Callithrix jacchus: one gene and its partners. The main gene of each other region encodes a partner of the protein of the gene in region 4 in a complex. Links are inferred from orthologs where the notes say so. Each region holds a gene or a part of one and is shown on either strand. Other genes may lie near its edges.

Region 1 (7,058 bases), on a different chromosome or scaffold from region 4:
AAAAACTGCAGTATCAGGTGGACTATGCCTCACAGGCTAAAACTTTTAGTTGGCCAAGAAATTAAGAAATCCAATTATTTCTTCAATGTCCAAAAGGTAGAAACTTTACCAACACAAATTGATAATCACGACAGAGCACATCAATAAAACCTGTAACTATCAGGAAGTGATGTTGAATTTGGTGGGAAGAGTTTTATTTCTTGTTTTCTCATCTTCCAATTCAGCTCTCCATATAAAAATTCATGTCATTTAACATTAGTATATTTCCTATAATCTAAAAGAAAGGTATAATTCTTAGATGGGGAATTATTTCTCAGCATAGAGTGCTACCTTATGCTTATGCTCTTGCTTTCTTTTCCCTAAAGAGGACTTTGTGCAAAGTAAAACATGTTAATAGATGTGTAAAAATACATATTCTCAGTGGCAGTTTTTCATTTGAAAGTTTGTTTCTTTGAAACCTTCAAAGTAATCGTCTTTTAAAAAATGTGACTTTTGTTAAATTAAGCTATTAGTTGTTTGTTAGTAAATCTAAGAGAAAGGTAAACAGGAGAGAGAGTAGATGGGAGCAACTTTGACTGTGAAACTCTGAAGTGAAGGGACAAGGGTCATTTAAGTCAAGGCATGGTCAGTCAGCCTTAAAGAAAACATAACAAGGAGTACCTGACCCACAATGTACAGCAATTGAGGCTTTAGGATCTACAGTAACCTGAGAGCTCTGATCACCTATCTCAGGCCCATAAGAGCAACTTGATACAAAGGCTTTTCATCAGGGTTTTCTGGATCCATCTGTACTGAAAACACCATTGATAGTCTTAGTTTGATACCAGAAAATTTACAATTGTATTACTGGACTTCCTTCACTACCCACATGGTTTTAGAAACCAAACATTCCGTGGGTTTGAAAACATTTGGAAAAACACTAGAATTCCAAAGAAAATAATAAGTATATATTGAAATACTTTCTTCCTGTTGATTTTTCCTTTACTTTTAATGAATTATTCCTACAGATTCATTTTAACTTTCCAAGGGAAGCTGAAGAAAAATTACATAATGAAATATTTCATTTTCACAGTTATCCAAATCATAAAAGCATATTTGTTACTTCCACTTCTCTATGTAAACTTTTCTACAAAATATAAATTTGTAATAACTATTAAAAACTGAAAATATTTCTAGTATGGCTACCATTATGACTCTAAATAAAATGCAAATTTTAGCAATTTTTATAATTTATTATAATACCCATCAAACCTTGAAAGATATGTATTGCTTTAAATTAAAGTCAGGAAATTAAGAACAGGACAGATAAGATTTGAAGCATTATATACAAGGAATATAAAATAATATGATAATTTCACTAAAGTAACAATTTGTGTGAAGACATTTCCCATTGCTAGTATTCTTCTCCACAGTAGAAGCCATCTCCTGAGGCATCTCTTCTATCAGATACAGAGAACCTGAGAACCTAATTGAATATATATGATCCTACCTAATTATTACAAGTGACAGAAATCATTTTCCTCCTATTACTGCTTGATTTTCCTTATCTACAACCAGATATTAAGAAGAAGGTAAAGGGGGCAGATACAAAAAGAAGAGAAGAAAATAACATCAATATTCCTTATTTCTTCATTATTTATCATAAACACAGATAATTATAATGTATCCTATTTCTCTATATAAAAATGCATAAACAGTGAGACCAAACTAAATAAAATTAATAATATAAGAATAATTAATACAGAAAATAGAAAACTTACACTCTCAGGTATTGTTGGGAGTCCAGTTACATCAGGGGTAATGAAGTAGGAATGCTAATCAATAAAAACAAATCACATATGAAAAAGATAATTAAAACTTGGTATCATTACATACAATTTGTAATGAAAATCAGAAAGAAAATATATTGAGAGAATTAATAAATGCCATGGACTGAAATTCAGTATTTGTTGAATTTGAAAGATTCTTAAATGAGTTAGGAGGTTTATATGAGATTTACCATGCAAAAAGTTAAGAGTTGGTTAAAAATATTTGACCTTAAAATTAAGATAAGACTAGGGAAAAGTGTTAAGGCAAAAAAGAGTACATTATTGAAAGGTTTATTTTGTACATATACATATATATATATACATATATATATACACTATATATACACACACACACATGTACACACATAGAAACATATATATTATTAAAACACATTTAGTTGACATAGATTGGAAAAATTAAAGCTTGCTAACCAAATATATCAACATCTATTAAGATTCCTAAGTTTCTATGGTAAGTAACAACCAATCTTTTTTTGTAAACATCAGCCACCCTAATATTTAGCAAATAGCAATAAAATATAATTTTTCAATGTTTAAAACTGCTTAAACATGTAGTGATCCCAAAATATGATCTTCACACATCCGCCAAACAATTAGCTTTTCTAATGTTCAAAGAAGTACAAGAGTTCATCACAATACTTAAAAGAGTATATTGTGTACATATGCTGTCATGTTACCAACAATATTCCCAAATTTACCACCCAGAATCAACGTGCAACTTAATCACCAAAAAATGTTTTATTTTCTGTTCATATTAATCTTCAAAATTATTTAAATATCTTAATCACATAAGGACATATTTAATACTATCATATTATTAACAATTAGAAAAGAAACACTCTAGCCAATACTTGAGCATAGTTGAACTCGTCAGAACAAGGCTAGTTAACACAGTCATAATGTATAATTTTCCAGGATGGAAGAACAATAGGAGAAAAATCACAAGATCTTCTGTGATCTTGGAGCCAAAAAATGTGACAAATCTCATGCTGTGAATATACTTCAAAATTACTACTACTGAAAATGGAGAATATGCATAGATTTTGGTCTCTATAAGCTAGTTTTATTTGCAATGGTTTTTAATAGTACTGTATTTTATAAAACTATGCTTTACAAGATAGTATAAACAGAAAATATTATATATTCCAATGATTAATTTTCTTAAAGAAATCAAATTTACCATTTCCCAAAGAGCTGGAGTGAATCTTAAAGGCATAGTGAAATAAATGATTATTTTTCCTATTTAATAGCGATTTTTAGAAGCCAACGTCCTTTTAACTCACCGGTACTAGAGAGGGCTGATCTTTCAGAAATTGCTCACAGGCAATAAATATCTCTTGGTTCTTATAACACATGAGAGAAAAAAATGAATATTTTACTTTCATGGGAGAAGCTTACACAACAATTCGCTGTGTAATTAAGACAAAACCCATGTAGCCACATTAGCCACTAAAAAATACTTGAATAAAAGTAATTATAAATATTATTTTAAATGCTGATTTGCTAATTTTATGCTAGAAAAATCCTAATGAAAGTATTTTCATATTACTAGAGAATGCTGTGGATATTTAATGATTTTGAAATATTCCAAAAAAAGTATTTTCACTAGACATTAACTTTTTATAAAAATATGTGATTTCTAGTGGCCATTATCCACTTGTACAGGAACAAAAACTTCCATAATCATCAATTTTAATCTGTCAGCATAAAACTAAAATCTCTTCTAGTAGCTGAAGATAAGTGTCCTAGTCCCAAATTTGCCACTTATTTAACAGCATTACACCAGATACATTACATTAGGAGTCTGTTACTGAAATCAAATACAATTAACTATTCATGGTAAACAAATGTAACAGCTGATTTTATCAACACTTAAGATATTATGACTTAGCCAGGCACAGTGGCTCATGCCTGTAATCCCAGCACTTTGGGAGGCCAAGGCGGGAGGATTGCCTAAGGTCAGGAGTTCAAGACCAGTTTGACCAACACAGTGAAACCTCATCTCTACTAAAAATACAAAACTAGCCAGGTGTGGTGGCAGGCGCCTGTAATCCCAGCTACTTGAAAGACTGAGGCAGGAGAATCGCTTGAAACCAAGAGGCGGAGGTTGCAGTGAGCTGAGATCACTACATTGCTTTCCAGCCTGGGCAGCAAAAGTGAAACTCCGTCTCAAAAAAAAAAAAAAAAAAAGATATTATAACTTTATTTATTTTATTTATTTATTTTTTTGAGATGGAGTTGTGCTCTTGTTACCCAGGCTGGAGTGCAATGGTGCGATCTCGGCTCACCGCAACCTCCGCCTCCTGGGTTCAGGCAATTCTCCTGCCTCAGCCTCCTGAGTAGCTGGGATTACAGGCACATGCCACCGTGCCCAGCTAATTTTTTGTATATTTAGTAGAGACGGGGTTTCACCATGTTGACCAGGATGGTCTCGATCTTTTGACCTCGTGATCCACCCGCCTTGGCCTCCCAAAGTGCTGGGATTACAGGCGTGAGCCACGATATTTTAACTTTAAAATAGGTACAAGACTTGAAAAACTATCATAGACTATTAATTCAAGTGCATATAAGAATTCTTATGGTGGCTCAAGCCTGTAATCCCAGCACTTTGGGAGGCTGAGGCGGGTGGATCACGAGGTCAAGAGATCAAGACCATCCTGGTCAACATGGTGAAACCCCGTCTCTACTAAAAATACAAAAAATTAGCTGGGCATGGTGGCACGTGCCTGTAATCCCAGCTACTCAGGAGGCTGAGGCAGGAGAATTGCCTGAACCCAGGAGGCTGAGGTTGCGGTGAGCCGAGATCGCACCATTGCACTCCAGCCTGGGTAACAAGAACAAAACTCCGTCTCAAACAAACAAAAAAAAAAGAATTCTTAATTATGGGAATAACTATTAAGGAATAGACGATAGTCAGTCAAATTCCTATATAAATAGGAATAGAACATAGTCAATGAAATTCCTTTGACAAGATTATTTCAGCTACAATGCAGCTATTTCAGAAGAAAACATTTTCTCCATATGAGATGAAACTTCAATTTACCACCACCTAACACCTGAATAGCTCTTCATGGTAGATCCAGATATATCACTTTATTTATTTGATTTGAGAAAGTTGATTACTAAAACAACTTTCTCAAAAGTTGACATGCTCAATTTCTCAAATGGAAAAAAAAGGATCATCTAAAGAGGTTAACTTTCTTGACTAACATTACACATTTACTGACTGTGACTTAAACCAAAATCTTCTAATCCTAAGTGAAAAAGACCTAGAAATCTTTAATTTATGGTTCTTATCAATAAAGATGAAGTGTTTCAATACCTGAAATTTTGGAGATGTATTTTGCTAAGATATTTATTTACCCCTGAGCAAATATGATACTCAAATTTAAGGAGAGCATATTTGTATTTCTCAATGCCACCTCCATTGTCTTAGCACCTCAATTTTCCTGAACTCTTTGACAGTGCCAGAATCACCTTATAAATATAACACTTTCAAAGATAAATGACCTTTATTTGGAAAATCCCAGGCTCTTCTTTATTATCCTTGACCTTTCCCTTGGCCTTTCTATTGCATTTCCACTAACCATAAACCTTGCACATTTTTGGCTTCAATGACCTGTAAGTCTAAGTTACTCTTTAACTGCTCTTTCCCCCAATTCTTTCACAGGATCTCCTTTCTTTTTCCCTATAGCCTATTTGGGCAATTAGAACTTAGCCTCTGCTCTATGCTCTTCTATATTTTATCCTTTAAACAGCTACAACTATGTCTACTGTTGACTCCCAAATTTGGGTTAAAAATTCCAGGTTATCCTTAGCTTTTTACCACCCAGTCTCCAAATGACTATTAAACCTTTCCACTTTGGCAGTGTGCAACAAAAGAAGATGCAGACATAAAGCAGCAGAGATCACAGGAAAGAAAAACACTGCATTAAGTTGTATGACAAGAGGTTTCACAAAAGTGAAGAGTAAGTTCTAGACTAACAATACATAATCAACAAAGTGACTTTTGTCCTAAAGTAATGATGCTCATTCAAGAAGCTCAACAAAACTATGTGACCAGAATAGAGGAGGAAAAAAAAAAATTCAACTGAATCTAAGAAATGGATGGTCCTGAAAGTCTAGCCAAAGTTTGAACAAATTCTATAGAAAATGGGGAAACAAAAAGTTTTCAGCTGGGACTTTATATAGTTTAAGTAAGTCTACCCTGACAGTCTTTTGTAGAAAGGACTGGAAGGAGAGACTCTAGACTAAGAACTCTTTGAAGTACTAAGCACCAGAACTACGATGCTAACCACCTTAGTCTACTACTAACAGTAGTGGTTAAAGAATGGAATAACGTAAGAGAACATTACTCTTATGTGAAATCACAGGATGAAATCTGGGCAAGACGCATGGACCAACAGAACAGAATAGAGAATGAAGAAATAAACCCAGATACTTACAGCCAACTGATCTTCAACAAAGCAAACAAAAACATAAGGTGGAGAAATGACACCCTTTTCAGGAGATAATTGGCTAGCCACATATAGGAAAATGAATTTTGGATCCTCATCTCTCACCTTATATAAAAATCAATGCAAGATGGATTAAGAACTTAAATCTACGATAAGAAACTATAACAATTCTAGAAGACAACATTGGAAAAACTCTTCTAGACATTGGCTTAGGCAGGGATTTCATGACCAAGAAACCAAAAGCAATAAAAACAAAGATAAATAGTTGAGACTTAATTAAACTGAAGAGCTTTTGCATGGAAAAAGGTATAGTCAGCAGAGTAAACAAACAACTCAGAGTGGGAGAAAATCTCCACAGTCTATACATCTAACAAAAAAACTACTATCCAGAATCTACAATGAACTCAAACAAATCAATAAGAAAAAAAAAATCCCATCAAAAAGTGAGCTAAGGACATGAATAGACAATTCTCAAAAGAAGATATACAAATAGCCGACAAACATGAAAAAATGCTCAACATCGCTAATGAATCAAGGAAATGCAAATCAAAACCACAATGAAATACCACCTTATTTTTGCAAAGATGGCCATAATGAAAAAAATCAAAATACTTTTGTTAAACATCAGCCACCATATTATTTAATAAACAGAAATAAAACATAATTTTTCAATGTTTAAATCTTCTTATACATGTAGTTATCCCAAAATATGATCCTCACACATCTACTAAACAACTGTTAAACTGATCAACTGATCACTGCATCCACCCCA
Region 2 (7,704 bases), on a different chromosome or scaffold from region 4:
AAAAGTTATTCTACTCTAAAAATGGAAGGCAAAGGAACAAGACAGGATTGGCACAAATCTAGACTTAAGAGCGACACATAACTAAGGTGTATTTAGTAGGCACATTTTATTCCAATGTCTTTCACCCATTAAAACCTTTCACCTGGCTGGGCATGGTGACTCATGCCTATAAATCCCAGCTACTCAGGAGACTGAGGCAGGGGAATCACTGGAGTCCAGGAGGTGGACACCAGCCTGATTACAAAGTAAGACTGTCTCTAAAACAAAATTCACCCACAAACCCCTTTTTCTAAAAAATGTTATTCTAAGTTACTGAACAAGAATCATATCTGAAATAGAATCTAGAAATGAAAAACCTTCAGGATGGTGTATGACAGACATTGTTAAAGGAGAAAAATAAATGAATGATCAGATTAAAAACTAAAGCATACTAAGGCCAATTTTTGTTGTTGTTGAGAAAGTGAGTCTTGCCCTGTCGCCCAGGCTGGGTGCAGAGGTGTGAACATAGCTCACTGCAGCCTTGACCTCCTGCCTCAACAATCTTCCTATCTCAGCTTCCTGCATAGCTGGAATCACGGTCCACGCCATTATGCCCAGCTAATTTTTTTATTTTTGTAGAGATGAGGTCTCACTACGTTGACCACGCCAAGTATCAAACTCCTGGCCTCAAGTGATCCTCTTGTCTCAGCCTCCCAACTGCTAGGATTACAGGCATGAACCACTGTGCCATGCCACAACATTTTTATACTTGAACATGGCTCAGAGCAAAAATCTTTCACAATTCAGAAAGATTTTTATTTTTTCAATTTATTTTATTTATTTATTCTACTTTTTATTTCAAACAGAATATTCACTTCGTAAGTAGAACAGTATGTTTTGGGTTTTGGGGGTTATTTCAGATAATCTCACTCTGTGGCCCAGGCTGGAGTGCAGTGGCGCAACCCCAGCTCACTGCAGCCTCTGCCTACCGAGTTCAAGTGATTTCATGCCTCAGTCTCCCAAATAGCTGGGATTACAGATGCATGCTACCACACCTGGCTAAGTTTTGTATTTTTAGTAGAGATGAGGTTTTGCCATGTTGGCCAGGCTGGTGTCAAACTCCTGACCTTAAGTGATCGGCCAGCCTCAGCCTCCCAAAGTGCTGGGATTACAGACATGAGCCACAGTGTCCAGCCCAAGAATATGTTTAAAGAAAAGCACAATTTTTACTGAGATTGTGTAAAATTTTAAAGACCTACTACATGCAACTATAAACGATTTAGGGCCCAAACAAATTCAAACTTCAACATATTTGGTCAAAATGCAAAATTTCCACTGGGGGAAGACAAAGTGTACGTAGGCACTCAACAGTCTTGTAGATTTTTAGATGAACAAGATTTTTAGATCTCAGATGAACAAGATTTTGACCTTTAAGCTGATTTTAGACTGGTAATTAAAAAACCAAAAAGGGAACCCAAAATTATACAGCGAAATGTGCCCTCCAATCTAAAAACAAACAAAAAAAATGTTGACTGGAATGTAAAAGTAACCATTGACTCTTCAAATTACAAAAGAAAATGTTACAACTGAGACAACCATCTCCCTATTGCAACCAGTCGCCTTGGATTCTCCTCATTGATTTAACAGGAAAGTAAGTGTTTAAAGCCTGAACGATGGTGAAATTTTCATCAGCAAGATGTGCCTTTTGCATTCATTCTACAGCACCAAGACAGTTATGTGCACACACCAAACTTACATGCCATGAGATTCATTTACCAATAAAAACAGGAATTAGTTTAAAGACTGCACAATAGGGCCAGGGGCGGTGGCTCCCGCCTATAATCCCAGCACTTCGGGAGGCTGAGGCAGGTGGATCACGAGGTCAAGAGATCAAGACCATTTTGGTCAACAAGGTGAAACCCCGTCTCTACTAAAAATACAAAAATTAGCTGGGCAGGGTGGTGCACGCCTGTAGTCCCAGCTACTCGGGAGGCTGAGGCAGGAGAATTGCTTGAACCCAGGAGACGGAGGTTTCGGTGAGCCGAGATCGTGCCATTGCACTCCAGTCTGGGTAACAACAGCAAAACTCCATCTCAAAAAAAAAAAAAAAAGGCTGCACAATAGATGAGGACACAAGTGCAGCTGCCTTACTATCAAAAAACAAGCCCAGGCCTCACAAACTTGTTTTATTTTGATACAAGTTTCAGTATCACTCAATGTACACAATACTCTCAAAAGTAAAGTTCTTCCTTTACACACAGCAAGTGAATGAAGATTTCTGAAACATTCTTTTCAAATGCTACACAAATCCTCAAAGTTACAGGATTATAGAAAAACTATAAAAAATTAAGAATGTGGATAATGAAACTTCTATTTCTAGGCAGTCTTCCCTCTATTGCAAATCTAAATGTGTTCTCAAAATGTACAGAAGATGTTGGAGTTATTGAACTTTGGCGTCTCTTCCCAATTTGCCGCTAACAATAATTGGAATATGAAAAACAACTCTTGAAAACCTCTAATATTTTAATTAACGTATAATTTATGTTACAATCAAGTTTAACAAAAGTTCACTATAATATTCCCTACAACTTAATCAGTATCTTGCCGTTTTATTTTATATTCAATGATTCCTTTATTTCAAAAACAAAGACATCACATGGTTTGTGACCAACACACCAGTAGCTAGAAGTATTTCCAAATCACTTCTCTCAACTTAAAAAAAAATTAATGTGAAACAAAGAGCTCAAAGCTACATTCTCTAAGAGAAAAATGCTGTAATTTTTTCACTTAAAAATAAATAGCTGAGGCTGGGCACGGTGGCTCAAGCCTGTAATCCCAGCACTTTGGGAGGCCGAGGTGGGTGGATCACGAGGTCAAGAGATCGAGACCATTCTGGTCAACATGGTGAAACCCCGTCTCTACTAAAAATACAAAAAATTAGCTGGGCATGGTGGCCCGTGCCTGTAATCCCAGCTACTCAGGAGGCTGAGGCAGGAGAATTGCCTGAACCCAGGAGGCGGAGGTTGCAGTGAGCTGAGATCGCACCATTGCACTCCAGCCTGGGTAACAAGAGCGAAACTCCGTCTCAAGAAATAAATAAATAAATAAACAAATAGCTGAGTCATAGTAACAAAATTTCACAAAAAGCTGAACTTTCTAAGGTACACTTTAAAAATTACTCCACTAGCCACACTGTCCTGGACACCATCCTACAAGCCTGTCCTAGACAGTCTATTTGTGTCTGCTGAGTCCTTCAATTATGCAGAACATAAAAGTTTCGAAAACTAATCGCAACAGCAATCAAAGGAAGTGGGTTTTTGTTTTCTGCTTTTTTTTTTTTAACAAGCAATAGCCCTAAGCTCCAATAAAATTAACACCCAAAAATGATCAAAGGGCAAAGGCAAATTTTCTCTAAGTAGCAGTTCTTTAGTTTTACAATTCTTTTCCTTGCTTTTCACTGAAAGGAGAAGAAATTCAATTAAGTGTTAAGGATGAGAACAGCTAGTTCCCAGGCAGAGGATGCAATTTACAATCCAGGCTTTGCCCAGACATCAGCGGGCACACGCACACGCCAATGCTCAGAGGAAGCTTTCAAGAAATGTCACTATCTAATGGAAGTGTTAAGGCCTTGTATTTGGGAGGACTATGGCAAGCTCTGTAAATAAATACACTGTAAAACACAACCTAGAAAAACTCCATTGTCTAAAGCAACTCAAGAGTTTCCTACCATACTCAAAACAGAAAGAAGCTGTGTCCTGGACAACCTCAGGATCATCACCTCTCACATGGAAAGAAGGGCAGCCCATGTGAGTCGGAGTGCCCCCATGTCAGCTCCGTGACAGATCCACTGGGAGCATCCGACTGTGATCCCGGCCCTCCAGGGCAGAGGCTGCTGGAAGAGGAACACACATGCAATCTTCACGGCCCTCCTACTTCCGTTCTCAAAACAGAAATGCACTTTTCTCCTAGTCCTCCGCCCTCAGCCCAGAACTCTCGACAGCTGTGCCCACTTCAACGAGCTTAATGGAAAGAAAAGCCAGGTAGTCATCAACTAGGGACCATGGAATGCGGCTGGTCACAGAGCTTCCCCCGGCGATTCCCGCACGCATCCACCGCGGGCGCCCTCCGGAGAGTCGCTCTGGCCGGGGGCACCAAGAAGCAGAAGTCGGCGTTCCAGTTCGCCCCGGGGGAAGGGGGGCAGAAAAGCGAAAAGAGGAACTAAGTGAACTGCGAGGCGATGCTCTGAAAGCTCCCTCAAATAGGGGGTGGGGAGGAGGTGGAAACTAAGAAGGGGCGGAAGGAAGGGGAAAGGAACAGCAGCCAGAGGAGGAAGGCGGCGAGAGCGAGCGCCAGCGAAGGAGACGAGACTTCAGGAACGCTGCTGCACCCCGTTTCCCCCCAGCGGGAGCGGGTGCGCCGGCCTTCGGGGCGCTCCGCCCCGGCAGAGGGCGAGGAAAGGGATGAGGAGGCGACGTTCCCGTCCCCGCCACTTCCTCGTCCCTTAGGAAGGCTCGGTGGTGACTGCAGTGCCCTCGCGGAATGGGAAGCGGCGGCAACTGCCGCTCGCCCCGTCGGAAGGCGCGGACGGCGGGGCCTCCTGCAGATGCGCGAGCCCGCTTTCACGCCCCCAGCGCCGGGGAGGCAGCTCCGCGGTGACGCCGGCCACCCGGCTGTGCGGTTACCTGAAGCGGGGCGAGTCCTTCAGACACTCCTCGAAATCCACCGTCATCTTCATCCGGCCTCCGCCTCGCCTCGCAGGCGGCGCTGGCAGAGCCGAGGGGGCCGCGCGAGCGGCCGCGCTGGGGACGCAGACGGCTAGGGCGGGCGCACGGCCGCGACTAGCGTAGCGCGGAGCTGCGAAGGGCGCCTCGCCCGCTGGTCATAGCATCCGCGAAGACGGCGACGGCTCGTCAGGCCGCAGTCCGGCCCCTCTTCCTCCCGCCCCAAGGAGAGCACTGAGCGCAGGGAAACGGCCGGGGAGTGACAGCCGCGGCCAGCCAGCCACGAACCTAGCGGCCAAGGGCGGGGTATCCGGCAGCACCGCCTGCGGGCGCCCGGGCAACGGGTCTGAGTGACGGAAACCGGAACCAATGAGCAGCGCGACCGTGGGCGCCTCCTTGCCACAACCGCCCCCGAGGGCCAACCGGGATGGGCAGGCGTCGCTAGGCGGGACGCACCGGTTGCTGGGAGGCCGGCCGCTGAGGCTCCTTGGGAAGGAAGTCACGTGGCTGCGGCCGCGCTTCCCTCAGAACCCCCGCCTCTTCTCCTGCTCCCAGAGCCCCGCCCTGCTGAGCTGCTAGCCCAGAGGAGCTGCCTCCTGCAGGTCTAAGGAAAGAAATTTGTTTTTTAAAGCAGCTTAGGCAGAAATCTGAAGAGGTTAGAGTCAGAAGTTATAAAAGAAAGACATGGGCTAAGCTACTTCTTCCTTTCAGTATAGAGACACTGAGGCCAGGAGACGAGCGAGGGTAAGTAACTTTATTTTTTTTTTTTTAATTTTATTTTTTGAGACGGAGTTTTGCTGTTGTTACCCAGGCTGGAGTTCAATGGCGCGATCTCAGCTCACCGCAACCTCCACCTCCTGGGTTCAGGCAGTTCTCCTGCCTCAAGCCTCCTGAGTAGCTGGGATTACAGGCACACGCCACCGTGCCCCAGCTAATTTTTTGTATTTTTAGTAGAGACGGGGTTTCACCATGTTGACCAGGATGGTCTCGATCCCTTGACCTCGTGATCCACCCGCCTCGGCCTCCCAAAGTGCTGAGATTACAGGCTTGAGCCACCGCGCCCGGCCAGGGGTAAGTAACTTTAATGATAAAATCTATCTTTCACGTATTGGTTTCACCGTTTCATAATTTGGAAATTGCTCCCATGTACATCATCTCATATAACCAGAGGCCACTTCCTGAAGGAGCTGGCGTTTGGGTCGGACATAGGATTTAAGCAGGTATGGGAGGTAGGGTGCTTCGTGTGGAGGAACTCCTCTCAAAACTGCAGAAAACATTCCTCCTCACTGACACTTTGCTCCCAGTGGTTTTCACCTGTTCTGCGATGGTGGCGTTCTGAAGACCAGGCTCATCGTACTTACCTTGCAACACCTGTGCCTCTAATGAACACTTTTTCTAGAAGCACTTTAAGATATTTATCATCTGATCCTCACAGTAATCCTACAAGGCAGGTATTTGCCATACTCCTTGATTTTTAAGACGCCATTGATTGTAAAAAGTACAAGGATATATTATATTTAAATGAATAAGTTTTAAGCCGACCTAAAAAGTATGGGCGTATCTATAAAAATGCATATGTAGGGTGTTCTAACAGCATGTTGGCTTTGAGTGAGAATCCGAAGGTAAACTTCCTGGATTTACGTTCTAGCTTTCTCGCTTTAAAATGAACATAACACAACAAATCTGATAAAGTTGTCCAGTTAACACAGTGCCACATAGCAATCATTCAGTAAATGTTGACTATTATAATTGTACCACTTTCATCTTTAGTACTGTAATCAAAGGACTTAAGTCTAAGCCCGCTCACTTTCACTGTCTGAAGATTTTGTTTGTCTCAAAAACAAACAAACAAACAATCTCATTCTGTTCCCCAGGCTGGTCTCAAACTCCTAGCCTCAAGTGATCCTCCTGTCTCAGCCTCCCAAAATGCTGGGATTACAGGTGTGAGCCATGCACCCAGACTTCTAAAGTCTTAATATAACCTTTTTAACATCTGGCTAAGTATAACATAATGACATACTGTTTTTCATAACTCATCAAGAGATATCTTGATCTCTTTAGCATCTTTAGAAATTAACAGTATAGGCAGGACATGGAGGCTCACACCTGTAATCCTAGCACTCTGGGAGGCCGAGGTGAGCAGATCCCTTGCTCCAGGAGTTCCAGACCAGCCTGGACAACTCTACAAAAAAATTACCAGGCACATGCCTATAGTCCCAGCTACTCAGGAGGCTGAGGTGGGAGGATCACTTAAGCCTAGGAAGTCAAGACTGCAATGATCCATGATCATGCCACTGCACTCCAGCCTGGGTAGACAAAGCAAAACACTGTATCAAAAAAAAAAGGAAAAATAACAGTATAATTTTGAGGCATTTCAAAAAATATACAAGCATTATATACATTTCTTCTTTGCTATAAACTTCTTTTTTTAATTGTGTATTCCTGGAATCTATACAGCTTTTCTTGATAGCTAAAAACAGACTATTGACTGTTAAATGTTCCCGGTCCTCAAGCACATTAGTGGTCAGGCCAACCTTCTCTAATATTGTAACTTCAATGTCAAATTTACCAAGAGAGTCAGCAATCTCTACTACATTTGGTTGCATTCCTGATATGTGACAGCTAATCTGCACATACAATAACTTATTTTAATACTTCACATGGTAGCCTTTTCGAAGATACCTAAAGTGACACTTTGGGGTTCAAATTAAAATTCAACTGCATGGCACCACAAAGGCAAATAACTAAGCTAATTATCAAGTGAACATCTTTCTGTGGATAGCAAATTTGCATATACCCAGTTAGTGATAACACTGTCACAATTTTTCTTCCTTGCCCTGTGATAAAGCAAGCACTTTGGGGTATCAATTGTAAGATATGTCCTAAATAAAGAAACATTAAAGTGGGATGGGGTGAGAGCAGTGAGTCTTAGAATAAAAGAAATACAATATTATTATCTTCATCTTTCTTTTTTTTTTTTTTTTTTTTGAGATGGAGTCTTGCT
Region 3 (7,816 bases), on a different chromosome or scaffold from region 4:
CCAGTTTGTGTTAAGTGCCCAATCCAGACCATTGAACTGGGGGAATCACACTGTGCAAACAGTCTGATCTCATTGGTTCCCCACTGGCAATGCTAGCCCTCTCCACCTACACCCTTATTTAAGCCCTCACGACTTTATTTCTAACATTCATATTTGATCTTGTCATTCCTGCCTCCACAATAAGGCCCTTTCTCCCAACTCCTTAGTAGTCATAGGCGCTTCATCACTAAACCCTGACCGGCTCTCCTTGGCTCTCTCCATTGCCTACCACACCTCTCAATCACATTAGTCATTTTGCCCCTTGGTTCTTTTGCACATGCCAATTCTCCCTTTACCTCCCACTCATTATTCAAAACTCAGCTCACGCCACTTCTGTGAAGCATGAGGATGTGCTGCATATCATGACATTTATCTGCTTCCTTGACTGTGAGCCCCAGCTCTCTTTCAGTGAGTTTGGAACCTAAAACAGTCTTCTTAGTGGGTGATATGGTTTTGTTAGTGAGATCTGAGTTACCCCAAGTTACCGGCAGCCTATCCTTATGGGTCTGTAACAACTTTAGTCCTTGCTTCCTCAAAAAGAAAGAATTCAACTGTGGGGCGTAAAGCAGAAAAAGAGACCAAGGCAAGTTCCAGAGCAGGAATGGAAGTTTATTTAAAAAGGCCTTAGAGGCCAGGCATGGTGGCTCACACCTGTAATTCCAGCACTTTGGGAAGCTGAGGAGGGTGGATCACGAGGTCAGGAATTCAAGACCAGCTTGGCTAAGATGGTGAAATTTAGTAGATTTAGTCTCTACTAAAAATACAAAAATTAGCTGGTCATGGTGGTGGGCACCTGTAATCCCAGCTGCTTAGGAGGTGGAGATGGAGGTGGAGAATTGCTTGAAGCTGGAAGGATGGAGGTTCAGTGAGCCGAGATCATGCCACTGCACTCCAGCCTGGGCTACAGAGCGAGACTCTGCCTCAAAAAAAAAAAAAAAAGGCCTTAGAACGGGAAAGTGTGCTTGGAAGAGACCTGAGTGGGCACATGAGAGTTAAAGAGAGAAGGTCAAGTGGCTAACCATCATCCTAGGATTATTATTATTTTTTGAGATGTTGTCTCGCTCTGTTGCCTAGGCTGGAGTGCAATGGCACCATCTCAGCTCACTGCAACTTCTACCTCCTGAGTTCAAGCAATTCTCCTGCCTCAGCCTCCCAAGTAGCTGGGATTATAGATGCCCACCACCATGCCTGGCTAATTTCTATATTTTTAGTAGAGTTAGGGTTTCACTGTGTTGGCCAGCTTGGTCTCAAACTCCTGACCTCAGGTGATCCGCCCCCTCAGCCTCCCAAAGTACTGGGATTACAGGCCTGAGCCACCACACCCGGCATCCTAGGACTTTTTTTGTTGTTGTTTTGTTTTGTTTTCTTCTTCTTCTTTTTTTTTTTCATTCTTTTTCCTAGGACTTTTATAGGCTTGCCTCATTCCCATGATTCTTCCCTTAGAATGGGCTTCCCAAATGTGCAGTGATTTCATTACCCTTTTCCAGTGAAGGATGCCCCCAAAAGATCATATTTCACCATTTTTGTCTCTTAACACACATGCCCAGAAAGTTGCTTCTCCCTGGGGCCTGCATACAATTAGCATTTTGATGTTAACAGGTGTGGAACATCAAGAAATGGCCTCTCCCTAGCACGGCCAATTTATCATTTTTAAAGAGGCAATGAGATAATTACGGAACTGCCACCAGTAGAGGGTCGTGACTGCAAGTTGACCAGGTTCTTGGCGGTTTGAATAAAGAATTGGACAAAACATCCAGGAAAGCAAAAAAAAAAAAAAGAATGAAGCAACAAAAGAAGGAAAGCAAGGATTTATTGAAAACAAACGAGCACTCCACAGAGTGGCAGCCAGTCGCGCAGCGCTCAGGTGCCGGGAAACAGCATTTTCTTGGGTCCCAATATCCCCTAGGAGTTTCCCATTGGCCACTTCATGCTCACCTCATGTAAATGAAGTGGTAGCCTGCAATCAGTCTGATTGGTTGCAAAAAGCAGCCGAGCAAAGGCTGAAGTTACAAAGGTCACACCCCTGAGCAAACATCTGATTGGTTGCGTTTTGCACATGTGAAAATTGGCTTTTTGCAAATCAGAGGCTAGGGTAAAGTCACAAAGTTATACTTCTATGCAAATTTAGACTTGGCCACAATTAGTCTATTTGGTTGCAGACCGCCAATTTTCCATCTGCTGTGCAGAAAAGATGGGGGGTTTGCAAAGGGAATAGTCTCTAGTCCTTTTATTACTTAGGTATGGAAAGTTAGGGTTTTCCTTTCAATTTAGTTCCAGGAAGTTGGCATGAAACAACTTTAGGTTCCCTGCCTCCAGTCCCTGTTCTCCTGCCTCAAAACCATCGCCGACATCCTTAGTAGGTAGAAGGGGAGAACCCTCTCCAGCTTGCTCATGCCTGTAACAGTTTGGCTGTGTCCCCGCCCAAAATCTCATCTTGTAATCCCCATAATCCCCACGTGTCAAGGGCGGGACCAGGTGGAGGTAATTTGATCACGGGGTTGGTTTCCCCCTTGCCCTTCTCGTGACAGTGAGTGAATCTCACAAGACCTGATGATTTTATAAGCATCTAGCATTTCCCTGCTTGCACTCATTCTGTTCTGCCACCCCATGAAAAAGATGACTACTTCTCCTTTGCCTTCTGCTATAATTGTAAGCTTCCTGCGGCTTCCCCAACAGTGCAGAACTGTGAGTCAATTAAACCTCTTTCCCTCATAGTATCCATAGCAGTGTAAGAACGGACCAATATAGTGGGTTTCCCATAACTAATATTTGCAGGACTGCCTGCCCCACCCCACTCTGGCTAGAAGCAGCAAGACTCCCCTACACACCCGGCCCTGAAGAGCAGGGGGCGTATGGGTTCTAGGTTTCACCAGGGCCTCGGAACCCTGGCTATGCAAGGAGGGGCCAAACCCAACCACACCACCCCAGTGATTCTGAATCAGTCGGTCCAGGGTGAGGTCAGGCCTCCGTTTGTCGTTGTTTTGTTAGTTTCCTCACTAGGTTCTACTGGGGAGCTAGGGTTGAGAACCGCCGTCTTAGACGAAGCTAGACGCTCACATCCACCAGCCCTCGAGGCGCCCTAGGCTTCCCTGGGTTCCTGTACCCGCGAGCGGCGCGTCCCAGTCACCACCCCGCGGGGGCGGGCGCGGGCCGCAGAAGGCGGAGCCACGGCGGAAGCCTCGCCGCTCCCCTCGCTGGAAAGCTCTGCGCGTGACTCGGCTGCGCCCATCGCTGTGGGAGCCGGGGAGGGGGCATGCACCGCGGCCGGGCGGACTGAACCAACCCGCCGCCCGGAGGGGCGACCTGAGGGCAACCCAGATTGGACCATTGAGCCACGCTGACGAGGGCCCGCATTTCCAACCCGCCGGGAGGGAGGGGGCGCTGGCGCCTCTAGGCTATAACGCGACCCCTGGAGGGTGCGAGACCACGCCGCCGCCGCCGGCGCGGAAGGAAGAGACTGAGGCGAGAAACGAGGTAGGAACGCCTCTCCGGAGGCTGGCGGGGTCTCACAGACCCACTACCCCGCGTTCCAAGGGCTCCCTTAGGGGAGGGAGGGCCTGTCTACCCACCTCTGTGCCCTCAGCGTCTCCCTTCCCCCTCGGCTGCACCCGCCCGCTGCGTCCGCCCCGACCCTCCGGTCAGACCTCGTCCCCAGCCCTTCCGACCCCCGGCCTTCTCTGACTCGTCAACTCTGCGTCCACGCGACCTTCAAACATCCAGCACTCACCGTCCATTTGGGCGCCACCCCAAATGCACCCCCAACCGTCTCCTCAAACTGCCCCCTTGGAGACACCTTCCCCCACAAAATGACTCGCGCCCGGTAGTCACCGTGGTACCCCAAGCCCCTGTGACGGCTTTGGGGAAGCGCGGCCGCCCGGCACCCAGGCCCGCGACTGCAGCGGGGGCTTCCCTACGGCCAGTCCCCGGCTGGGTCCTCTGCGCCCTCCGCCCTTTTAGCCCCTGGTTCCTGTTAATATCTGCCCGGTGCCGGCGTCGCTTCAGTCTCCGTCTCTCCGTCATCCAGTTTTACCTGGGGAAAACCTTTGGCTTGGCAGTACTCGTCCCCTACTACTGCACTCACTTGCCGCGAAAGGGCACAGTGAGTGATCCTGTTGCCCACGGTTGGCTGTGGCCCTCCAGGCTGGCCCTGCGGACATAGGGAACTGTCCTGGGGCAAGGATCGTACACTACTCATCTTTGTATCCTCAGTCCCCAGCGTGGTCCCTGGCTCACCGTGGTGGTGTCGGTGGAGGGTCTTGACTACCAGTTGTCCTTGGCGTTTTGAACAAAGAATTGAGCAAAACGCACAAAGTAGCGGAGGAATGAAACGCAGGAACGAGTAGATCATAGTCAGGCAAGGATTACTACTATGTGAACAGTGTCCGTGATAAAGAACACAGGCCTTTAAAAAAAACAAAAGTGGAATTTTCAAAGGACAAAGGGCCTGAAACCTGTTTTTGTTTATTCTTAGGTGGGTGACCTGAGCAGATTTACTTTCCTGAGGGTATTAGGGTTTGGGTTCCATGGGGAAGCAGGTGGTATCGCTGAGGGATGAAACAACGGCTGGAAAGCTGTAAGAGTTGATAAGCTAGGAAGTAGTTACCTAATTAGCAGTGGCATTATTGTAACTTGGGCTCAAAGTATCAGCAAATAAAAGTAGTGATTGGATTCTCCTGGCCAGCTCCTCACGTATCAGGCAGTGGTGGATGGCTTAATGGAAGAGCAGATCCAAACAGTATACCTGGTATCCTGTTACTTATGTTGTATGGCCAGCCATGGTTTCCCTTCTGCTTTGAGCTAGGTTAGGATCCCTCTGACTTCTATGATGGTGCTTAAGATTCCTTTCTGAAGTCACAGCTGCCTTAACTGGAGGCTGGACATGTTCTCATTCACCCATTTCTAGTTCTGATTTATCCTTTTCCACTTTCTGTCTGCCACCCTCTGACATAACCTTTATAAAGTCTTGAATCGGGCCCAGCCGACACAGTGGCTCAACCTGTAATCCTGGAACTTTGGGAGGCTCAGGTAGGCGGGTCACTAGAGGTGAGGAGTTCCAGACCAGCCTGGCCAACAAGGTGAAACCCCGTCTCTACTGAAAATAGAAAAATTAGCCGGGCATGGTGGTGTGCACCTGTAATCCCAGCTACTCGGGAGGCTGAGGCAGGAGAATCACTTGAACCTGGGAGACAGAAGTTGCAGTGAGGTGAGATTGTGCCACTGCACTCCAGCCTGGGTGACAACGACTCTCCGTCTCAAAAAAAAAAAAAAAAAAAAAAAAATGAAATAGGCGGGGCGCAGTGGCTCACACCTGTAATCCCAGCACTGTGGGAGGCCGAGGCAGGGGGATCACTAGGTCAAGAGATCAAGACCATCCTGGCCATGGTGAAACCCCGTCTCTACTAAAAATACAAAAATTAGCCGGGCGTGGTGGCATGCGCCTGTGGTCCCAGCTACTCAGGAGGCTGAGGCGGAAGAATTGCTTGAACCCAGGCAGAGGTTGCAGTGAGTCCAGATTGCGTCACTGCACTCCATCCTAGCAACAGAATAAGACTCCGTCTCAAAAAATATATAAAATAAAATAAAGTCTTGGATCATGGAAACCCAATTTGGGGACGGACTCTTGAGCTGGATGGATTAAACAGTACAATTTTTTTTTTTAATGGTATCTTTTTAGTGCCCTTTTTTACTTTTTCCTGTCTTGGCTCCCTCTTAAGACTTCAGTTCCCCCAGAACACCCTGGATTATTTTTCTGCTCACCTCTAATACTTAAGTGTGGCCAGATAAAACAAGGGTGCCCAGTTAAAACTGAATTTCAGATAAACAACAGGGAGGCCTGCATTTTTACTTGCTAAATGTGGCAAGTTCATGGGAAGGCTTATCTGTTCTATTTTTCTCTCTGGGGCTTATCTGCAAATTTAGGATAATAACTCACCCTTTTCTTCCTATTACTCATACACAATGATTGTGCACCCTGCTAAAAGTCACTCGACTGAAGAGCTGGTTCACTGCCTGTTAGGGTAAGGGCAGGCTATCTAGAGATGGTCTGATTGATTAGTGTTGAAGTTACCCAGGGGAAAAAAAACCATTCAGACATTGGCATTTAATATAACTTTTGTCAAATGAATCCATCATGCAAAACCAGAGCATTACTTTGAGCAGCTAGATGTCAACATTGCTCAGAGAGCTAGGTGGTGGGGTAGAGGAAAATCTAACAACAACAAAATATAACTCATAGCAGAACCTGTGCTGTACCATATTTACTCTTTATTGTGGTAAAATATATATAACAGGAAATTTACCATCATAATCATTCTCAAGTGGCATTAAATATATTCACATTATTGCACAACCATTACTGACGTCAATCTCCAGAACATTTTTTTCATCTTCCCAAACTGAAACTCTGTACCAGTAAGATACTAACTCCCCATTTCTCCCTACTCAGCCCCAGGCTTTCTACTTTCTCTCTCTGAATTTGACTGCTGTGGGTACCTCATGTAAGTGGAATTATGCACTATTTGTCCCTTTGTGAGTGATTTGTTTCAATTAGCATAATGTCTTTTTTGATTTTGGGTTTTTTTTTTAAACTTGTATTTTAGGTTCAGGGGTACATGTAAGGGTTTGTTATATTAACTAGTTTCACAGGGATTTGTTGTACAGATTATTTGATCACCCAGGTATTAAGCCCAGTACCCAATAGCTATCTTTTTTGCTCCTCTCCCTCCTCCCACCCTCAACAAGACCCCAGTGTCTGTAGTTTCCTTTGTGTTTTTAAGTTCCCAGCATTTAGCTCCCACTTATAAGTGAGAACAAGCAGTATTTGGTTTTCTGTTTTTGTTAGTTTGCTAAGGATAATAGCCTCCAGCTCCATCCATGTATCTGTAAAAGACATGATCTCATTCTTTTTTATGGCTGCATAGTATTCCATAGCATATGTGTACCACATTTTGTTTATCCAATCTGTCATGGGTGGATATTTAGGTTGATTCCTTGTCTTTGCTATTGTGAGTAGTGCTGCAGTTGGTTAGCCTAAAGTCTAAGGTTCATCCACATTATAGGCTGTATCAGAACTTCCCTCCTTTTCTTTTTATTTATTTTTTGAGACAGAGTCTCCCTCTGTCATGCAGGCTGGAGTGCCCTGGTGTGATCTTGGCTCACTACAGCCTCTGCCTCTTGGGTTCAAGTGATTCTCATGCCTCAGCCTCCTGAGTAGCTGGAATTACAGGTGCACACCACCATGCCCAGCTAATTTTTGTATTGTTAGTAGAGACAGGGTTTCACCACGTTGGCCAGGCTGGTCTGACTCCTGACTTGAAGTGATCCATCAGCCTCAGCCTTCCAAAGTGCTGGGATTACAGATGTGAGCCACAGCACCTGGCCAGAATTTCACTCCTTTTAAACACTAAATAATATTCCATTGTATGTATACACTATATTCTGTTTATCCATCTCTTGATGGATATTTTGGTTGCATCTGTCTTTTGGCTATTATGAAAAATGCTGCTGTGAACATGAGTATACAGATGTGTTTGAATCCCTGCTTTCAGTTCTTGTGGTTATATACCCAGAAGTGGGATGGATGGATTGTATGGTAATTTTATGTTTTGGTTTTTGTGGGGTTTTTTTTTGTGTGTGTGGAGCCACCATATTGTTTTCCACAGTGGCTATAGCATTTTCCATTCTCATCAGCAATGCATAAGGGTTCCAATTTTTCCACATCCTTGGAAACACTCTTTCTTTTTTAAAAAATAATAACTATCCTAGGCTGGGCATGATG
Region 4 (7,800 bases):
CTGGGATTACAGGAGCCTGCCACCACGCCCAGCTAATTTTTGTATTTTTAGTAGAGACGGGGTTTCTACTAAATGTTTTGCCATGTTGGCCAGGATGGTCTTGATCTTTTGACCTCATGATCCGCTCACCTCGGCCTCTCAAAGTGCTGGGATTACAGACATGAGCCAACATGCTTGGCTTTTTTTTTTTGTTTTTGAGATTAGTCTTACTTTGTCGCCCAGGCTGGAATGCAGTGGCCTGATCTTGGCTGCAACCTCCACCTCCCGGGTTCAAGCAGTTCTCCTGCCTCAGTCTCCAGAGTAGCTGGGATTACAGGCACCTGCCACCACATCCAGCTAATTTTTTTGTATTGTTAGTAGAGACACGGTTTCACCATGTTGGCCAAGCTGGTCTCGAACTCCTGACCTCAAGTGATCGCCTGCCTCAGCCTCCCAAAGCTGGGATTATAGGAGTGAGCCACAGCACCCAGCCTTTACCCCTGGCTGCTGTATCTGGTCCTCACCACACCAGCCACACACACATCTTGTCCTCGGCCTGCTCCTGCCTGGGCTCTGGCCCCCTCACTCCTCTCTGCTTCAGTTCCATCTCTTGAGGAGCCCTAGGCCTTTCAGTGAAATGTTCTCAATTTTTTTAAATTCTGAAACAAGGTCTTGCTCTGTTACTCAGGCTGGAGTGCAACAGCGCAATCACAGCTCATTGCAGTCTCCGCCTCCCAGACTCAAGATCGTCCCACCTCAGCCTCCCAGGTAGCTGAGACTATGGGCGTGCACCACCACACCCAGCTAATTTTCTTATTTTTTGTAGAGACAGGACCTCCTTATGTTGCCCAGGCTGGTCTCAAACTCCTGGGCTCAAGCGACCCTCCGCCTCAGCCTCCCAAAATGCTGAGATTATAGGCATGAGCCACCAAACCCAGCCTTTTAAAATTTTTGAGAGTGTCTCACTCTGTAACCCAGGCTGGAGTACAGTTGTGTGATCGTAACTCACTGTAACTTTCAACTCCTGGGTTAAAACGATCTTCCTGTCTCAGCCTCCCATGTAGCTGGGACTATAGGTTTGCAACACCACACCCAACTGATTTTTTTTTTTTTTAGATGGGGGTCTCACTATGTTGCCCAGGCTGGTCTCAAATTCAAGTGATCCTCCCACTTCAGCCCCCCAAAGCACTGGGATGAGCTACTGTGCCCAGCCATGTTCTCATTTTTAATCCTGCCTCAGCCACTACCACACTCTATAACCTCACACAAGTCACGCCCCATCTCTTAGCTTCAGTTTACTCATCTGTTAAGTGAAGGGCTAACTCCATCTCCGAATGAGGATGGCTGTTCTGAGGGATGCAGATGAAATGCTGTTACAAATCGGAGCCACTGTCAGTACAAGGGAAAGTATAGAAAGTAAAGAACCTCAGGCATAACGAAGAGATGCAGAGGTTGAGGGAGTCCACTGCAGAAGCATGCAGAATGTGCAGAGTGGGCAGCACTCTAGATGTATGAAGAAAGAAACCAGCTTTCATGGCGGGCCTGTTGTTTGCCAGCCCTGACACCAGCTGCTTGCACACATATTAGCATTGAGGTACAGTAACCCTGGCTTTGCCTCTGCTGAGCTGTCTGATTTGGGGCAAGTCAGTCACCTCCTCTGAGCCTTAGTTTCCTTGTTGTTTTTTTTTTTTTTTTTTTTTTTTGAGATGGAATTTCACTCTTGTTGCCCAGGCTGGAGAACAATGGCATGATCTTGGTTCATTGCAACTTTTGCCTACTGGGTTCAAGCAATTCTCCTGCCTCCCAAGTAGCTGGGATTACAGGCACATTCCGCCATGCCCAGCTACTTTTGTGGGGTTTTTTTTGTTTTTTTGAGACAGAGTTTCGCTCTTGTTACCCAGGCTGGAGTGCAATGGAGCAATCTCGGCTCACCGCAACCTCTGCCTCCTGGGTTCAGGCAATTCTCCTGCCTCAGCCTCCCGAGTAGCTGGGATTACAGGCGTGCGTCACTGTGCCCAGCTAATTTTTTTGTATTTTTAGTAGAGACGGGGTTTCACCATGTTGGCCAGCTTGGTCCTGATCTCTTGACCTCGTGATCCACCCACCTCGGCCTCCCAAAGTGCTGGGATTACAGGTTTGAGCCACCACGCCCCGCTACTTTTGTGTTTTTAGTAGAGACAAGGTTTCACCATGTTGGCCAGCTTGGTCTTGAACTCCTGACTTCAGGTGATCCGCCCACCTAGGCCTCCCAAAATGCTGGGATTATAGGTGTGAGCCACCACACCTGGCCTTAAGCCTTAGTTTCCTTATTTGACAAACCACACAGGCCATGGGTAAGAATAAGCATCTGTGAAATTATTCGATATACCTTAAGGAGGCATTCGCACAAGAAGCCCAGTTCAGGGGAGTGCATGATGTCAGTCTCTGTGCTCAGCCGCCAAAGCTTAGTTTGGACTTCCACAGCTACCATCTCCCAGCTTTGAGTATCTCTCTGTCAGGAGAAATCAAAGAGCACAGCGTCTACCTCCTCTACAACCCACACCTACATGACTGACCTAGGAGCTAGACCACATAAATCTTGACCCAATGAGTCTTCTTCCACACCTGACTTCGGAGAGAAAAATCAATTCATCATACAAAATGTGTTGTGAGAAAGCGGGCCAAACCCATCCCCTGGGTTTTACAGAGGAGAAGCGCCAACAAGCTCCATCTTCCTGCTGAGTTTAGACTTTTCATCATCAATGCAGAGGATATCAATGCAGAGGTCAGAGATGTCTTGCAGAGGGATAAAGGCTCCTGACCATGGCAGGCTGACGGTCACTCCAAAAAGAGAGAAATGGCCCGGTGCCAGTCCCTCAGAACCCAGGCCAGGACTGCAAGCAAATCATTTAGAGGAAGAAGCCTCAAGACCCTGAAGAAGCCAAAGGCCATCTCCAAGAGAACACTCCAGCTTGCCTGGTTTCCTTCCATTCAAACCATAACCATTCTGTCCTCCCCCTTTGTAACTCCATCCCCAAACACAGTAACTCTTCCATCTACCTGGTTAGCCCCCAGCTTTCCCCCCTTATCTCTCCCTTCCTCCAGCAACTATGGAAACCTCAGCCATCCTTCACCTGATCCAAACCACCAACCACATCTCCATCCAGCTTTACAAGTGAGGCCAAAATCACCCACTTCCCTGACCCAGCTCTGACACTGCTACCCAGCACTCCGACACCCCGGGTCTCACTCATTTGATTTGATCCCCTTTCCTTAACAGTCCATGGCCTCTGCCTCCAATCACATGACATCCCTCCCCACACTCAGCTCAGGTCTGGTCTACAAACTAAGCATGCTCCCGACTCTTTCATGGACATCGTATAACCCCAGCATCTCAGCTACACTCCCATAAACCTTCTGGGGCCTGCCTCCCTGAGCTCTTGGTCACCCCATAAACCTGCTTGCCTGCCATACTCCAAACAGCTCCAAAACCCTCCATCTTGTTCCAGAAACCAGTCTATCTTTTCTAAGGACACTTAATATTCATTCATTCTGCAAATATGTCTTAAGCACTTACTGGGAACCAGGCAGTGTTCTAGGCACAGGAGCTGCAGCAGTGATCAGGAGCCCTCAAGCAATGTGTGTGTGGCCAAAGCACTTTTATAATTTTGGCTGCCACACCCCCAGGACTCCTCTGTATATAGTAGCGAAACGGCAAACAGTGACGACTCACTGTGTGCCAGGAGCTGGGCACAACACTGCACAATCTCACTGAACACTCACATCAACCCCATAAGGCAGATCCAACCATCATTCCATTTTACAGATGAGAAAACTGAACCAGGTAGATATAACAATGATTCGGCGGGAATGTGCCAGGCCCTGAGCAAAACGCTTTACCCGCCTTACCTCATTTAAACCTCATGGCAATCCCAAGAGGCAGGTTCTGAGAATTCCTCTTTTTAGATGGGAAGAAACTGACACTTACAAAGGATACTGATGATAATGACAATAGTGAACATTTATTTCGAGCTTACTTTACCGGGTAGGACGCTGAGCACCTTTCCTACTTTATCCCATGGAATCCTCGCACCACCCAGCAAGGCACGTCCCCGCTTCTCAGATGAGGGAACTGAGGCTCAGGACGGCGAAGTAACTTGCCCAAGGTCAGCGAGAGGCAGCTGGTAGTCCCGAGACTCGAACCCAGGTCTCTCCAACTCCAGAGATCGCGCGACTTGACCAAGGTCACACGTGAAGCAGGGACAGGCGCGGTGACTGGACTCGGCGCGCTCGGCCCCTTCGCCCCGCGCCCCAACCTCCCCTCGGCGCGGCCCGGAGCCCCTCGGGGCCCCCCTGGAGCCCAGACCGCCGGGCAGCCCCGCCCGCCCGCCCCACGGAGGCCGGCACCTCCCCTCCCGCCTGCCGCCCCGAGGCCCCCGCGGGCCGCGCCCGGCAGGGCCCGCGCCGCCTCCGGCCGCTGCGGCCCTCACCGCTGTCGCCGATGATGAGCAGCTTGAAGAGGTGGTCGTAGTCCCGGGCCATGGCGGGCGGGGGCGGTGCGCGCGGGCGGGCGGGGTCGATACTGGCCTCGCGATCCGCAGCTCCCTCCGGGCTGCTCCGGCAGCGGCGGATCCACTTCCCGAACAAACAGCCGGAACTGACAGAAACACCTCCCTCCGTCCCCCTCCTCCTCCTCCTCAGCAGCCGCCGCCGCTGCCACCGCCTCCCTTCTTCCCGCCCCGCCCCGCCACTGCGCAGGCGCGGCGTCTGGCACCGCCTTGCGCAGCCGCAGCCCGAGCCGGCCGCGCCCTCGCCGCGCACGCGCCCCGGCGGAGTCTCGGCGCGTCTTTCTGGCGTGTCCTCCTGGAGCGTCGCAGCAGCTGTTCGCGGCCCTGAGAGCTGGCGGAGCGGAGCCGCTGTCAAGACCCAGCTGAAAGAAGCCTAAGGTGCCGGAGAAGCCCGGCCGTGGACGTTCTTTCTCCCTCATCTTCGAGACCCGCAAGCCCTGTGAGAGGAAATGACAAGCACGCCACGACCGTGGGGCGGGGCTCACGCGAGCTCCGAGTTTCCCGAGTCCGGGGCTGGGGACATGGAAGGTAGAGTCGCGCGAGGAATGGCCGGCACCCCGCCCCTTCCGCACCGACGCTGCCCTCGCGGAGCTGGCCCCCGCCCCGAGCCTGTGAACTGGACGCCGAGGGCGGCGGGCGGCTCCCGAGTTACGCAGAACGGGAGCTGCCGGCGGGAGCAGAGCTGCGAGGCTGTGAGCTTTGAGGGCAGCGCGGGGTCGAAATCCCATCCCAGCGCTGTGACCTCCAGAAGCCCACGTTGCCTCTTTGCTGGAGGGGAGGGAGTGGTCCAGGTTCAGAGTCTCGTGTAGCTCGGAGCCGAGCCTGGGAGCTGAATGACCCATTGTGCAAGGCGCACCTCGGAGACCGAAAGCAACCACTTCCCGGGCTTCAATTTCACACCACCTGCAGATACACATCTCAGAATCTGCGGCTGGGAAGACCTGGGCCGCCAGAAGCAAAGCATGTGCATTTTATCATCAGCCCCCGCTTTCTCGTTTTAGAGTGAGTTCCCACCTGCCCTACCTGAAACACCTGAAAGTAGTATGCCCCCACGGCCATTTTCAATGCAGAACTGCAGAGGGTTTTAAGCTCCTATTTCTTATAGCCCTGTCCCTTTCCAGGCGGGTATTTGTTGGATATTTCTACTTTTCTATCAAACTTCCTTTTCTTTTGAATTTATAAAAAACAATGCCGGGAGGTTAGGTAGGAGAATCGCTTGAATCCGGGAGGCGGAGGTTGCAGTGAGCCGAGATCGTGCCATTGCACTCCAGCCTGGACAAGAGCGAAAACTCCGTCTCAAAAAAAGAAAAAAAAAAAAAATTATGCTTGTCCTTAAAATTATGTGCAGAAGTTTACTGAAAAGTACAAGTTACTATTTTTGCTTCTGAAGCACTCCTCAAGGTAAACCCTGTTAGTTTTTAACAGGTAACCTTAAAATGCTTGACACATACTTGTTGAATGAGTAAGTGCCCTCGGTGAATTTCCTTTGCCTGTACAATCATATGTCTACCTTTTTAACAGTACACTTGTATCATTTAACAGCTGCGTGCGTGGTATGGTACTCTATCTGATGGTTGTACTTAACCGCCCTGCTATTAATAGACACTCATGTTGTTTATATTTTTTGGTTATTATAAACATTGTTGCTGGGGGGATCATTGAACAACACACGGAGTGTCTGATTCAAGCCTTGAGTTGTTTTTCCGGGAGCTGAGAATCAGTGTGGTGATGTCTAAAGAGCATGAGCTTGGAATCTGAAGGTACTGGCTAGGGAGAAGAGCTGCTCATGTGCTCCTGCTAATAGAAAAGTCCCCCTTGGTCTGGAAGGTTGGGGCCATCCTCTGACTCAGCAGCTTTAGGAATTATAGGGTGAGAAGGAAGTCACCCAGCCCTGACCAGCCAGCGAGGCAGTAGGTCCTCCCAGCTCATCTTCACAGCCTTGGCTGGAGTCAGGAAGACTGGTTTCAATGTTAAGATTGGAATCCTAGCCTCCATCCCTTAAAACCTTTGTGATCTTAGATAAGTCACATCATACTATCTCAGAGCCCCTGTTTCCTCACAGAACGGTTGTTTTAGAGGTATGTTCGTAAATTACCTGGCACATGTAGGCATGAGACTGACCGTAACCAATGTTACTCAAGGTCATTTTGCACTGACTCATTCATACTTTGAGCCATTTCCTGTTATAGACTATAGCACACATTTCCAACTTCCTAATAGGGCTGCAGGGTATTTTTGGGAAATAAATCAAAATTGACCATTAAAACCAGATTCCTGACTTTGCCTGGATATGCCATCTGGAAAGCAATCAGCATGAATTCTTCATTTATTTGGTAACTGTTTAATGAGTGCTTATGTGCCACAGATTGCAGAGGCCTTTTCCCTCCAGTTTACAGCCTTATCAGTTAAGACATACTCGTGAGGAAATTGAAAATATAGGACAATGCAGATAGAAAGCTGTCAAATACACAGTCTAGACTTCAGAGGAGGAAAGCTATCACTTTTAGCTGTAATGATGGGGAGAAGATTTCATCATAAAGATTTCATGATGGCACTGGAATATGAGAGCTTTGAGTGTCTATTTTTAGACAGCTGCTGTCACAGCCTATGAGAATCCTCAATTTTGGCTCGGAAGGGGAAATCCCTGCAGGTCAGGGTTATGTGCCTGGCATCTCCAAATGAATCAGCACATTTTCCTCCAGAATCATTGTTACAGATTTATTTAAACTGCAGTTGGATGGTGAGTTATGTTAAACTGTCTCTCTCCTTCTCACCATATAGGTATGTAAACTTTTGTGACCTAAAGTATCACTGTGTCCTGTGATTGGAAACTGTTTCACCGCTCTGAACAGGTAACTTAGAGATGAACTTTTATACCACCACCTGTGTGCACGTTAGAAACTATTAACAATGAGGAGGCATTGAAAGTTTTTGAGCAGAGAAGCAATCTCAAAATACTATTTTAGCAAAGTAATCTAACAGGAGTATGCAGGATGGATTTCAGCTGCAGAGCTTTAAAGGTTATTGCTGAAGCCTGGGTGTAAGGTAACAACGGACAGATGCAAAAGGCAATACGCAAACAGTATAACCAGACAAAGCAGATTCAAAAAAGAAATCATGTAATTTACCTGGTAACTAGATTCATCCCTTAATTCAGTAAATATTTGCACAGTTACTGTGCTGGACCTGGAGGCTGTAACATGAACAAAACCAAGCTCCTGTCCTCATGGCATTTACAGTTTAGTGGCGGAACAAGTCATTCATTTGACAAATA

The links.
Region 1: the proteins of RAB35 (region 4) and DENND1B are in contact, whole or in part, in a crystal structure (PDB 3TW8), measured with the Homo sapiens proteins. The link is inferred for Callithrix jacchus from reciprocal best matches to the Homo sapiens genes RAB35 and DENND1B. Residues at the interface, in NP_006852.1 of Homo sapiens: Lys10, Leu12, Ser17, Ser36, Tyr37, Ile38, Thr39, Thr40, Ile41, Gly42, Val43, Asp44, Phe45, Gln60, Trp62, Thr64, Ala65, Gly66, Arg69, Phe70, Arg71, Thr72, Ile73, Thr74, Ser75, Thr76, Tyr77, Arg79, Gly80, Thr81; in NP_001182144.1 of Homo sapiens: Met1, Arg4, Glu43, Ser47, Phe51, Val72, Leu73, Thr74, Asp75, Ile76, Glu77, Ser78, His211, Glu212, Arg213, Arg214, Gln242, His243, Ile244, Ile246, Leu249, His252, Leu253, Asp255, Tyr256, Cys258, Ala259, Pro260, Met261, Pro262.
Region 2: the proteins of RAB35 (region 4) and ACAP2 are in contact, whole or in part, in a crystal structure (PDB 6IF3), measured with the Homo sapiens proteins. The link is inferred for Callithrix jacchus from reciprocal best matches to the Homo sapiens genes RAB35 and ACAP2. Residues at the interface, in NP_006852.1 of Homo sapiens: Arg3, Asp4, Tyr5, Leu8, Ile41, Gly42, Val43, Asp44, Phe45, Ile47, Lys58, Gln60, Trp62, Phe70, Arg71, Thr72, Ile73, Thr76, Arg79; in NP_036419.3 of Homo sapiens: Val715, Ala718, Asn719, Ala720, Asp721, Val723, Thr724, Arg727, Leu728, Arg730, Met731, Glu734, Met735, Ser738, Glu748, Thr749, Gln751, Arg755, Asp756, Gln759, Met760.
Region 3: the proteins of RAB35 (region 4) and RUSC2 are in contact, whole or in part, in a crystal structure (PDB 6IF2), measured with the Homo sapiens proteins. The link is inferred for Callithrix jacchus from reciprocal best matches to the Homo sapiens genes RAB35 and RUSC2. Residues at the interface, in NP_006852.1 of Homo sapiens: Asp4, Tyr5, Leu8, Phe9, Lys10, Ser22, Leu26, Asp30, Ile38, Thr40, Val43, Asp44, Phe45, Lys46, Ile47, Lys58, Gln60, Trp62, Thr76, Arg79, Gly80, His82; in NP_001129471.2 of Homo sapiens: Val997, Lys998, Asn1001, Asp1005, Val1008, Thr1013, Arg1015, Lys1020, Glu1119, Glu1155, Leu1158, Leu1159, Gln1161, Pro1162, Leu1165, Leu1166.

Annotation. Positions count from the first base shown.
Region 1 is NC_133520.1:24,521,323-24,528,380, forward strand, and holds part of DENND1B (DENN domain-containing protein 1B), read right to left. Parts: intron 3,173-7,058; coding exon 3,113-3,172; intron 1,815-3,112; coding exon 1,761-1,814; intron 1-1,760. UniProt on the Homo sapiens protein: Guanine nucleotide exchange factor (GEF) for RAB35 that acts as a regulator of T-cell receptor (TCR) internalization in TH2 cells. Acts by promoting the exchange of GDP to GTP, converting inactive GDP-bound RAB35 into its active GTP-bound form.
Region 2 is NC_133516.1:24,368,021-24,375,724, forward strand, and holds the start of ACAP2 (arf-GAP with coiled-coil, ANK repeat and PH domain-containing protein 2), read right to left. Parts: upstream 4,962-7,704; 5' UTR 4,715-4,961; coding exon 4,662-4,714; intron 1-4,661. UniProt on the Homo sapiens protein: GTPase-activating protein (GAP) for ADP ribosylation factor 6 (ARF6). Doesn't show GAP activity for RAB35.
Region 3 is NC_133502.1:142,403,566-142,411,381, forward strand, and holds the start of RUSC2 (AP-4 complex accessory subunit RUSC2), read left to right. Parts: upstream 1-3,245; 5' UTR 3,246-3,513; intron 3,514-7,816. UniProt on the Homo sapiens protein: Associates with the adapter-like complex 4 (AP-4) and may therefore play a role in vesicular trafficking of proteins at the trans-Golgi network.
Region 4 is NC_133510.1:123,242,945-123,250,744, forward strand, and holds the start of RAB35 (ras-related protein Rab-35), read right to left. Parts: upstream 4,501-7,800; coding exon 4,449-4,500; intron 1-4,448. Other genes in the region: uncharacterized protein LOC108593240, read left to right, coding at 4,499-4,903. UniProt on the Homo sapiens protein: The small GTPases Rab are key regulators of intracellular membrane trafficking, from the formation of transport vesicles to their fusion with membranes.